Linked DNA regions of Cricetulus griseus. The protein of the gene in region 1 purifies or fractionates together with the protein of each later gene. This does not show direct contact. Links are inferred from orthologs where the notes say so. Each region holds a gene or a part of one and is shown in the gene's direction. Other genes may lie near its edges.

The links. The genes of interacting proteins can lie anywhere in the genome.
Region 2: the proteins of Ubqln4 (region 1) and Gja1 purify together in Homo sapiens (affinity purification with western blotting; 3 studies listed by BioGRID). This does not show direct contact. The link is inferred for Cricetulus griseus from reciprocal best matches to the Homo sapiens genes UBQLN4 and GJA1.

Annotation. Positions count from the first base shown.
Region 1 is NW_023276806.1:65,937,916-65,943,606, reverse strand, and holds the end of Ubqln4 (ubiquilin-4), read left to right. Parts: intron 1-70; coding exon 71-257; intron 258-2,484; coding exon of another isoform or gene 2,485-2,538; exon of another isoform or gene 2,539-2,641; coding exon 2,642-2,794; 3' UTR 2,795-4,344; downstream 4,345-5,691. UniProt on the Homo sapiens protein: Regulator of protein degradation that mediates the proteasomal targeting of misfolded, mislocalized or accumulated proteins.
Region 2 is NC_048595.1:253,062,337-253,068,700, reverse strand, and holds the start of Gja1 (gap junction alpha-1 protein), read left to right. Parts: upstream 1-2,510; 5' UTR 2,511-2,687; intron 2,688-6,364. UniProt on the Homo sapiens protein: Gap junction protein that acts as a regulator of bladder capacity. A gap junction consists of a cluster of closely packed pairs of transmembrane channels, the connexons, through which materials of low MW diffuse from one cell to a neighboring cell.

The DNA of each region.
Region 1 (5,691 bases):
TCCTCCATGTCCATTTCCCATCCTGTTCTGGACTGCTGTCTCCTAACTCCTGTTCTTTTCCTGCCTCCAGCCTTGGCTCCTTTGGAACATCCCGGACTCCTGTACCCCTGGCAGGCAGCAACTCTGGTTCTGCAGCCGAGGCCCCCACCTCTTCCCCAGGCGTCCCAGCCACGTCTCCTCCTACACCGGGTTCCAGTGCCCAGCAGCAACTGATGCAACAGATGATCCAGCTTTTGGCTGGAGGTGGAAACTCACAGGTATACAGGGCAACCACCCATCCATCCTGAGCAACATCAAGGACAGGTGGAGTAGAGGCAGCAGTACAGGCTTTGCAGGAGACCAGACCTGGCTGGCTTCAGGGCCTAATCTGCCACTCAGCACCTGCTTGGTACCATGCTGAATGCTCTGTCTAGGAGAGTCATTTACCCTGTTTCCATCTGCCAGCAGATGACGAAGGTCAAGGGCAGGGTCTTAGGCACAGGCACAGAGGTGACTGGGGGTGTAACCTCTGTGCCTCTTCTAGAAGCACCATTCTGCAGATGTCTGTGTAAAACACTCACAGGGCTGAGTCAGCTTGATCTCTAAGGTGCATCCAGTACAAACTGTGACTGAGAAATGTCAGCAGGGCACTGTGAAGGGCTCTGACAGACACTGCAGGGCTTGCTGTGTGGCCCTAGGGAAGTGTATCTAATCAAGTGGGCAGTGAACACCAGCCTTCTGTAGCAAGCTTTCTTGTCAGATGATCTTTAGACTTCCAGCCTGCAAATAATGACCCGAAGACTTATTATGAAAGCTTGGCCTTAGCTTAGGCTTTTTCCAACTAGCTCTTATAGCTTAAATTCACCCACGTGGCTTGGTTAACTCTTCTTAGTATAGCACATCCAGCTTGCTCTGAGTGTGATGGTAAAATCAGGTACCTAGATTCCTCCTTCCTGATTCTCTCTCTCTCTGCCTGGAAGTTGTCTATTCTCTCCTGCCTACCTATTAGCCATTTAGCTCTTTATTAAACCAATCAGAAGGCACCTTAGGCAGACATAACAGTGTAAACAAATACTCCACAACAGCCTTCCTCTTGCAGGGTCTTGGTCATGATCAAGATTTATGCTTCCCAAACATCACATGGGAAAACACTGGAGTTGGACTTTTTGGGGGCTGCCAGCTCACAAATAACAACACAGAGATTTGTTTTAATTATGAAATCTTAGCCTTTAGCTTAGAATTGTCCCATCTAGTCAGGCGATGGTGGTGCACACCATTAATCCCAGCACCCAGGAGGCAGGGGCAGGCAGACCTTTGTGAGTTTGAGGCCTGCCTGGTCTACAAAGTGAGTTACAGGACAGGCTCCAAAGCTACACAGAGAAACCCTGTAACAAAACAAAAAAAAAAGAATTGTTCCAACTAGCTCTTATAACTTAAATTAACCCATTTATATTAATTTATGTTCTGCCACGTGGCATTAACCTCTCTTTCATCTTGTACCTCCTGTTTCCTGTCTATGCCTGGCTCACAACTCTGCCTTTCTTCTTCCTGGAGTTTTCTCTCTCTCTGCCCAGAAGTCCCACCTATACCTCCTGACTACCTATTGGTCATTCAGAATTTTTACTACACCAAACATAGCAATACATCTTCACACAGTACACAAATATCCCACAGCAAAACATTTCCGAGAGATATTTATAGGAGTGTGTTGAAAGAAAAGGCTTGTCTTCTGTTAATAGTTGTGTTTATTGGCAGGTTAAAAAAATTAAGCAGGTTTTTTCCTTGCTGGGCGCTTCTCTGACCTTTCCTGTGGTAGTAGATGCGAAGACTATCAAGAGGGGCATGTTTAGCATTCAGCGTATTTGAGCGTAGAGCTCTGGGTTCTCTTTGTGCATGCGAGTCTGTGTTGGAGATCAAACCCAGAGGCTGCACATGTAGGTGAGTGTTCTACCACTGAGCTACATGCCTAGCCCAGCTTTAGCCCTTTTTTTTTTTTCTTTTCAGATTATTTGTTTCTATTTTATATGTATGAATGGTTTGTCAGCATATATGTCTGGGCACCAAGTGTGTGCCTAGTGCCCACAGAGGCCTGAAGAAGTATCAAATCCCTGGAAACTAGAGTTACAGACAGTTGTGAACCACCATGTTCTAGGAATCAAAGTCAGGTCCTCAGGAAGATAATCACTGAGCCACTTCTCTGTCCCAGCATCAGTCTTTTGAAGCATCTATTAACATCTTCTGGAGAGCATATAGGAACAAGCTGACCCAGGCCTACCAGGGACTTAGGAAGTTTAACAAAAATATCGTCTGTTTTATTGTTATAGTTATTTACTAACTTGGGGACTAGGTTCCCTGTCCTTCGTTTGCATCTCACTTTTCCTCAGCTAAGCACAAAGCCCTGGACTGGGGTGGGAGACAAGTGGATACAAGAGCCATCCTTGACCATGGGGGTGTTAGGGACCTACTGGTATTATGTATACACTCAAATTCAAACTGTCCCTCTAGGAGACAGGCACGGTGTTATATGCCTGCAATCCCAGCAGTTGTAGGCCAGCCTGAGCTACATACTACATAGCAAGACATTCTCAAACAGAAAGGAAGGAAGACAGGGGCTAGCCCTAGGATGGGCCCATGCCCACTTGCCAAGGCCTGCCTCCTCCAGGTGCCGGTGCCAGAAGTGAGATTTCAACAGCAGCTGGAACAGCTCAACTCCATGGGCTTTGTCAACCGTGAAGCCAACCTGCAGGCCCTGATTGCCACAGGAGGGGACATCAATGCTGCTATTGAGAGACTCCTGGGGTCCCAGCTCTCCTGATCCCTTGGCCTGTGCCTCCTGCCTTCCCCACCTCTCAGCGCCAGCCTTTGGCTCTCTGTCAAGCCCTACCTTCTGTAGCCTGTCTTCTTTGACCTCTACAAACAGCAGGGTGACACTAGAGGCATGGGCACAACCCCACAGCTCTTTCCAAGGATTTTGATTCGGTTGCTATCTAATGAAATCTTCTCTCCTGGCCCTCTAAGCAGAGCTATTTAGTTTGCACAGTTGTGTGGTCAGTTGGCCCTACCTCCTTGCCCACAAGTACTCTGGCAATGTTCAGTCTTCTCCCAGGGTCTGAGAGAGGAGGACCCCGCCTGGCTTCCTGGAAGTCTTCCATCAGTACCACTAGGGATTAGTTTGCCTTACATTTACTTTACTCTCTTCCTTTCCCTCCCTCACCTCAACCCAACCAGTGTTTGAATTTCACTCTCTGGAAAGGAACTGATGAAATGCTATAGTTTTCTTTCTCTACCCCTATTCTGCAAATTCATCCAGCATATTCTCATGGGCTCCTTTGGGACTCTGAGGCAGGGAGAAAGATGCCTGTCCTCTTGCCCAAAGGGAGCAATGAGTCAGTACTCTGGGCAGGATTACCAAGGACAGACAAGACCTGCAGGGGCTGGTGTTGAAGAGCAAGAGCTGAGAATTCCTGGAAGCAGGGACTGGGGAAAGACTGCCTAAGCTGAATGCTTGGAAGTTCGAATTGACAGTTGGGATATAGAAACACCAGTAGATTTCAGGTTGGAGAACCCAGGCTCAGGGCTGACAGAAGAGAGACTGGTGGAGTTTGAATTGAAGAATGGAGCTCAACAAAGCTGAGCAGTGCAACCTACAAGGAATCAAGTTGGTTCCATTGTCTCCAACACATGCATATGCACACACGTGACCCAATGACCCAGGACATGCCTATATCTTCAGGCTCCAGTACTTTGAGCTTCCCTCTCCAGGAGATATGATGGGGTTGGATCTTTCTCAGCAGTATGGAGAAGTTATACACATACGAGCATTCATGAAAGTTGGGAGTTGTGTGTTCTTTGTTGGTTTCAGGTTCACAACTTTGTCAACAGAGATGAGTGGGTACAAGGGCCAGCCTAGTGGAGGAATATAGCATTGGGAGAGCTGGGTCTCTGGGTCTTTGGTAACCAGATAGCATATTGGATAATTCTAAAGATAATGGCTCTAACGGATACCCTTACCACCATTACTCTTGTGGAAAAAAATAGTGAGGTTTCTCTTCCAGAGCTCCTGCCTTTCAATTCCTTGCTGGTTCCCTCTAGACCAGAAAGTTCTATTTGAGGAAAGGGTGGGAACAGTGATGCCTTTAATAAGAAATTAGGTTTAGCTCAGCTGGAGTACTGAGGAAGAGGCTGTCAACACATTCTCTCTGCTCTGTGGTCCAGCTACTTGGAGGATCCCTGGCTGGGAGATAGAAGAACCCTGTTCCAGTTGGGGAAGGGTCCCAAGTAGTCCAGACATGCCTGCCCTTTTCCTCTCTTACTTCCAACATCCACCCTGGCCTTTGTAAATAAATGATTTTTGTTGTGAGAGTACATTGATGTTGTCAGTGTTTATTTCTGAGGGAGGATTCAGGTGGAAGACAAGGTCATTCATTGCCTGTCTTGAGTTTTGGTGTTCTGAGAAGGTGTCAATGTAGCCCAACCTGGCCTGGAGCATGTAGCAGCCTTCTGCCTCAGTGTTCCAGTGATGAGATTGTAGGCTGAGCCTCCACACTTGCCTTATCTTTTATGCAATGAAGCTATGAGGAAAGTCTGGTGATATAAGATTGAACCATGCATGGGAGAAAGAGACTATGCTTCAGACAAGTTCTCAGTGCAAATTCCAATGCTGGATAAAAGAAAAGAAGAAAAAAAAAAAGAATCAAGGGGAATGATGACCCCTCTCCCAGAGATGCTCAAGACCACTCCCACAGGGTATTTACACTGCCTCCCAGAAAATAGACTTTGTGCCTTTTCCTGTCTCCCTTTCCCATATCCTCTCTGGGGAACTGGAAGGCCATCAGGGAGCATTGTATCCATTAAACATGGGCTTTTTCTAATTCTGTTTGATTTGGTATGATTTGAATTACTACATCAGCGGAGGTCTTATTAGGGTGTGGAAGATTCAACAACCATCTGTAGCTCCAGCTCAGGGGACCTGGCACCGGCTTATTCTGGCCTATGCAGGCAGCAGGTATGCACATGGTACACAGACATACATGCAGGCAAAACAAACATTTAAAAAAAATAAAAGCTGGGTGTTGCATGCCTTTAATCCCAGCATTCAGGAGGCAGAGGCAGGTGAATCTCTTTTGAGTTCCAGGCCAGCCTGGTCTACAGAGTGAGTTCCAACAGAGAAACACTGTCTCAAAAAAACAAAAAGGAAAAATCAGAGTCAAGGCCAGATTGTTATTTAGTAAGACCTTGTCTCAAACCAAAAATAAAGATTTGGGGGTGGGGGGGGGACTAGAGAGATGGCTCAGTGGTTAAGAGCACCAACTGCTCTTCCAGAGGTCCTGAGTTCAATTCCCAGCAACCACATGGTGGCTCACTGCCATCCATTATAAGATCTGGTGCCCTCTTCTGGTGTGCAGATATACATGGATGCAGAATGTTGTATACATAATAAAAATAAATAAAAAAATCTTTAAAAAAAGATTTTTTTTAGGAGGGTGAAGCTGTTTTTGCATGATATTAAAATAAGATAAATGCCAACACAGTGGCACACGCCTTCAAGCTAGCACTCAGGCAGAGACAGGCAGATCTCTGCAAAGTTCATAGCCAGCCTGATTTATATATAAGTTCTAGGTCAGCCAGGCCTACACAGAAAGACACTGTCACAAAACAAGGTAATAATAGGTCCATAACTATACAATGAAATTTAATGCATTCAAAGTTTAA
Region 2 (6,364 bases), on another chromosome or scaffold:
CTGTGAGTGTGAGGCCAGCCTTGGTCTCCACAGTGAGTTCCAGGACATGCTCCAAAGTTACGGAGAAACCCTGTCTCAAAAAACCAAGGGGAAAAAAATTATATTGTAAAAGGCTGTCAATCACAACTTTTTTTTTCCTCTGCAACTAATTCTGAATTGATATTATAGGAATGTTATTAATAAAATAGATATTGGTAATAATTGCACTTAACAAATAATTTTATAAAAATAAAGCAAATTTTTTTTTTTTTTTTTTTTTTGCTTTTTGAGACAGTTTCTTTGTGTAGCTCTGGCTGTCCTGGAACTTGCTTTATAAACCAGGCTGGCCTTGAATTCACAGGAATCCTCCTGCCTCTGCCTGGAAGGAGGGATTAACGGTATGTGCCACCACACCCAGCAAGCAAATCTTTCTGGAAATTAAATAAAGAGGAACAGGGAGTGGCCAATTTGTGAACACTAGGTTTTACTGAGGTTGTCCTTTAAGTGTGGTGTGTTAAGCATGGGTAAATTGACTACAGATGATGATGTATCAAGTGTTCAAAAAGAGTTCCTTTTCAGAATCTAGATATTTTACCATAGGAAACGATGATAAATGTTTCAGCAGACAAATATGCTTATACTGAGTTCAACACACCAACTTTACACATGTAGCAAAGCATCATATTACTCAAACATTATGTCCACCTCTTATATTGTATCAGTTAACAAACTGAATAAGCCAGGCATGGTGGTGCACGTCTTTAATCCCAGTGCTGGAAGCCAGAAGAAGGCAGATCTCTGTGAGTTTGAGGCTAGCCTGGTTTATGTAGTGAGTTTCAGGACAGCCTGGGAGCTATGCAGAGAGAAGTTTGTTTGTTTTTCTCAAAAAAAAAAAACTATGTAAATACATTTAATAAGGGTCAATAAGAGGGATCCGTGGTAAAGGTGCTTGCTTCCTGATCTTACAGTGTTAGCTCAGCTTTGAGATGGAAAAAGAGAACCAGCTTTTGCATGTTGTCCTCTAACTTCCACTTGTACACACACACACACACACACACACACACACACACACACAGAGAGAGAGAGAGAGAGAGAGAGAGAGAGAGAGAGAGAGAATAAATAAATGTTAAGAAAAAAAAACAACTAATTTCAGGTTGCTGAGCATGAAGCCTTGAAAGTCAGAATATAGTTTCTGCTTCTACATCTTTTCCCTTTTTGAACTTAAAGAGATGCAAACCTTAATAAGAATGGGATAATCAAAGTAAAGAGCATGTTGGTGTCTCAAATGGTGAGATTTCAAACAGTCCTTAGTCATTGCAGTGAGAAGATACTTGGGGAAGTATTTCCCAGGAAATCTTTGCCATCCTTCTTTGGTCTGTATCTGTATTTGTGTGAAAAGTTTAGCATGATCAAATGGATGTCTGTACAAAGGCCAAGAGGTTTCCCTGTCCAATACCAATGAAGCCTGTTTATGGCACTCGTCCTACCACAAGCCCTCTTGGAGGATGTCTGGGAGCCCTCAAAGAAGCTACTGATCTTAGGAATGAGGCCACATGACTTAAGCCTTCAGAAACCCCATCAGGTCTGAGGAGAGAGTTTGTGGAGAGGCAAACAGTCACCAGGTTGGGCTTCCCAGGGACATGATTGAAAGAGCGGATGAAGGTTTCAGAGCCACTTTAGGCAAGATAATGTATCTGACAACTCTAGTCTGCAGTTGTAAAAAAAAAAAAAAAAGAACTCTGACATCTCACTGCAAATTTAAATGTTAAATTGTTGGCCTGAATAGGCCTGAGATATAAATTTTCACTTCCTTGGAGATCTGGTAGAGGTCACTATCAACACTTCAGTCAAAAATTATATACATGATATATCATAACACGTTTCTTCTTGTGCTTAGTTGAAAGAATACGTAGAAATACCTAACACAGTCCAGAGGCTGAAAGGGTAGACATACCCCTACACACATCTGGTTGTGAAATGTCTTTCCCATGCCCACCGTTTCTTTCCTTTGTTAATTGTCCATGTTTAAGAGCAAGAGAATTAGGTCATAAGAAAGATCACTCACACCCACCTCAAGCTTCACACAGCTTGGGCAACCCAGAACAAGTCCGCACTGGTTAGCGTTGTCTCCCCCATTTTTATTTGTTGTACTTTTTGTTTTTGTTTTTTTAGGTTAGAAAATGTAACATAAAAGTACATATCCTCACTGTCCCTGGTCATCTGGTGAAGCAAGCACTAGACTCAACAGTATTTAATCTGTGAGAAGTCACAGCCAAGTGGTGGTGGACGTAAATCTATCTAGGGCTGTTCTCTTTCTTTTTTTTTTTTTTCTTTAGCGTGTTCAAACTACAACTTTATCTTGACCCTGGCTGCTTCTAGTGCCTGCTCAGCCCCACGCTCACCAGCCTTCTCCCCACCTCCTCCCCGCCTTTTCTTCCTCCCTCCCCTTTCTCCTAGCCCCTCCTTCCAGTTGAGTCAGTGGCTTGAAACTTTTAAAAGCGCTGTGCTCCAAGTTAGAAAAGCGCTTTTACGAGGTATCAGCACTTTTCTTTCATTGGGGGAAGGCGTGAGGAAAGTACCAAACAGCAGCAGACTTTTAAACTTTAAATAGACAGGTCTGGGAGCCTGAGCCCTCCTTTTCTTTGACTTCAGCCTCCAAGGAGCCTCACCGCTTTGGCGCGCCGGCTTCGCTTTCATTAAGCGAAAGAGTAAGTTTTGAAAAACTCACTTTACCTTCTAGCGTCTTTTTCGTTAAGGAAAACTCTTCTATTGTGGTTTATAAATGCCTTGTCACCTTTTGACTTAGGGTACTGCAAGTAGAATGACGGACTTCAAAGTGCCTTTAGTTTCCACGTGCTGATTTATATTTTGGTCAAAAGTTTTCCCGACAATGCAACAGGTAAAAGCCTCAAACTTTTCCAAGTAGAGTGAAGAGCCAAGTTACTGAATTTGGCTCTTTGTTGTGCAGCCCTATTTTACTTTTCTGTAGTTACGAATGGCGTAGGTCTTGCGGGCGGGCGGGGGGGGGGCAGTTGGAGGGGGCTCTTGAGTTGGACTTTTCAGTCGAGTTTGCTTAACGTGCTTCCTATAGTGTTGTAGACTGCGTGCTTCTTTTTCATATGGAAATACTGGCCGCCGTTCCTTAGCCTTGAAAAAGCGTACCCCTTTTGTGACGGGGTGCTTTGTTGAGACGCTGCGGCTACTTGACTTCCACGTGGTTTCTTCTTAGACTTTTCAGGATTAAGCCAGAAGATCTGAAGATCAGGGTGCTGCCGTTGGGGCTTTTAGAGCAACACTAGTTACTTTGTCCAAGCCAGCGCAGTGCTTCGGGACGAACCCTGTAGCACGCACAGCCAGCTTTTCACTCCACCACGCTGGCAACTCCGGGCAGGAGAAATCTTGAATGGGTGGTGGTGACTTACGAAGCGTTAAGAGGAGAAACGGGCGTTTTAGAGACTGTGTGTGCCAGGATGCTTTTTCAAAATCAACTGCTAAAACACGAGCTCCTAGAAGGAATGGGGGGAAAGGCGTTTTTGAAGCCGCACTTTAGAGCGAGCTACCTCCCCCCCCCACCTCCCCGCGCCGCGCGCGCCCGCGCTCCAGCCTGCTTGCGCAGACATGTAGCCACTTAGGAGCTGTTGGGACAATTTTGAGTTGGCGCTGTCAGGGTGCTAAGCACTAGGCAAAGATGATGTTAAAGTGCAGTTTAAAAGGGTTCCATCTTAAAGCATTTAAAAAATTATTATTGGTAACACGTTCTGTAAAGCACTTTGCCCCCGAGTTCATTCTGTCCCGCCTAAATCCAGCCCGAAATAATTCAAGCTGAGTCTGTATTGAAGTGGTTTTTGTTGTTTGTTTTTTGTACCAGCTGAGGCCGAGAGTGGAGCAGAAGTGAAAGCTTTGGGGAGGCCGGTTGCGCGCCCTCCTGCCATCTTAGCATCTTGAGCTCAGCTCTCCGCAGCCTCCGGGCTTCGCGGTCCAGACCTCTGCCCCCGAAGGGGGAGGGGAGACGGGCCCGCTTCCCGCCGGTCCAAGAGCAAGAGATCAAATTCATCACTAAGTTGTCAGTCTAATACCTCCCCATCCACGCTGCCCTTTCTCACCCCATTCTCCCTAAACTCGTCGGGTAGCTGGGTGCAGCCCCTGGGAAGGGCCCCTGAATACCTAGGGAGTCCCAGTGCTGGTAAATGCACTTGTAACACTCGGGGAAACTCTTGAAATTCCCTAAGAACGAGGCGGGGCGGAAGAAGGAGGGGCAAAGAAGACCCCTCGAGAAACCGAGCCACAGCTACTGACGTGTGCTGAGGCAAATCCGCTCAGGATTGGGAAATTCAAACCTTGAGTTCCGAGCAGAGATCTCCTGTTCGCGCCCTCGGGTCCACCCAACGCTCGCCGGGCACGTCTGGCAGAGTCTTGGACGGCACTCCCCGGCCCGCGCCCGGAGGCGAGCTTCCCTTCCCTCCCGGTGCTGGGTTTCGGGTGGGCAGAGAGATCGAGATCTTAAAAACCTACCCGGCTGTGTTTGGAGGTGGGTTTAATTTCCTTTGTTCCCCAAGCAAAATATTAGTGATTGAAAGTGGTGAATCGTGCCAGTCCAAAAGACCACTGGGCAACCTTGAACAGCCAGCAGTGTCCCATGAGGAAGCCTAATGGTGATTTTTTTTTTTTTTTTTGAGAATAGCTGAAAATAAAAGCCTGTGGAATAAAATATGCTAATGAGGACCTAGAATACCTTTGGGGCAAATGAGTTGATTCTGCTTAGTAGGCCAAGTTGAGTGAAAATGAGCACAATTCCAGACTGTACATTCTGTCCTGGTGAGGTGCTGAATTCTGAATTACTGGACTGTCTCCCCAGTGTGTAAAAACCACCGTCCTTTGCCTGCTGCTCCCGATGGTAGTGCTTTGATCTCCCGCTGTCTTAACGCATACCACGTTTTTATAATGACTCTCTGAGGCTCTTCAACATCACTGCCCCACCGTCTCATCCTTGGCAGTCGGGCTTTTTATCCCTCCATGACCTTCCATGGGAAGTTTGTTTCTAAAGCCGGCAGTTGCAGGCAAAGGAAGGCTGCATTTCCTTCCGGATAGGGAGCGGCGTTTGGTCACTTAGACGGCTCCAATCCTGACACAGAGAGAAGGGATGGCGGACACTGTGTCCTACTTTATTACCGTATGCAGAGGTGTAGCTCTCCGTGTGAACTGTAGAAACTTTTTATGCCCCGGGGGAAGGGAATGATAGAAAAAGTCACCCACTGATTAATACCTGTGACTCCACCTCCAAGCTTCTGTTTGACTTGTGATATGTTGAGGCACATCCTGCTCAGCTCAGGAGAGAAAAAATGTAATCATCTAGTGTGTATCGTTAACGTCCACAGTCAGTATAGATACTTCCAAGACTAAAACAATTCTCACCTGCCTCTAGGTAGGACGGTGCGAATGCATTTTGAATCTTTGGGGTAACTGGTTACAGATTCTCCACTTTGCATGATTGTTAGTGTACTATGTAGAGATGCCAAAATTCAACCCATGGTTAGTTGTTGAGGTTACTTGCCTAAAGTTCATGTCTCAATTTTTCTACCTGTCTACAATTTTTAGAAAGTTATGTTCCAAAAGTTTTAGTTACTATTTTGCCACAGAAAAAGCTACCAAAGTTAGAAGACATGATATTCACAGCTCTTTTGAAAGTGCTACATTTTATTGTGGTGGTAGCTAAAAGCATAGAACACATGCGTTGTCTCATGGAGTGCTTATTGAAGCAAATAGACCGTCCTTAATATACTTGTGCATCTTAAACCTGTATTTACATAGTCACAGAGTAACAGGATTGTTTAATAAGCTGTCTTTGGAGGTGGTGTGAGTGGAAGCAGAGGAAATAAAAAGTGACGGCTTTTTTATTTGGATGGCAGTTGAATATGGCTTTTGCTCTGCAGTTTCTCCTTCCCCCATCCCTCAAATTGACTGAGCAACCTTTGGTAGAGGAGCTGAGTGGTTGGAGAATGGAGGAAGAGATTGTCTCTTGGTTCCCATCTACCTTTGGGGTGGGGTCCCTTAACCACAGTTTATCTCATTCTGTGGAATCTGATCTATTCTGTGTTCAAATGAGGGTGTGGAAGCAGGACAAAAAAGCTGTCTGATGTTGTGTCTACACCTGTGAGCTAGGAATATTAAGGAATGCCTTAGAAAGGAAGGAATTGAGGCAATCTGTGTCAGAGTTTGTGACAATGGTGTTTACATAGAATAGCTTTCATAGAGCTAAGCATACACTCCGGGTATAAGGCTGCAAAGGTTGAGTTTTTGTGTGATCTGGAGATGTGTTCTTCAGTGTGCTGGATTCAGATCACTTTGTTGCCTTGTGGAATCATGCTATGTAGAGGTATTACATTAA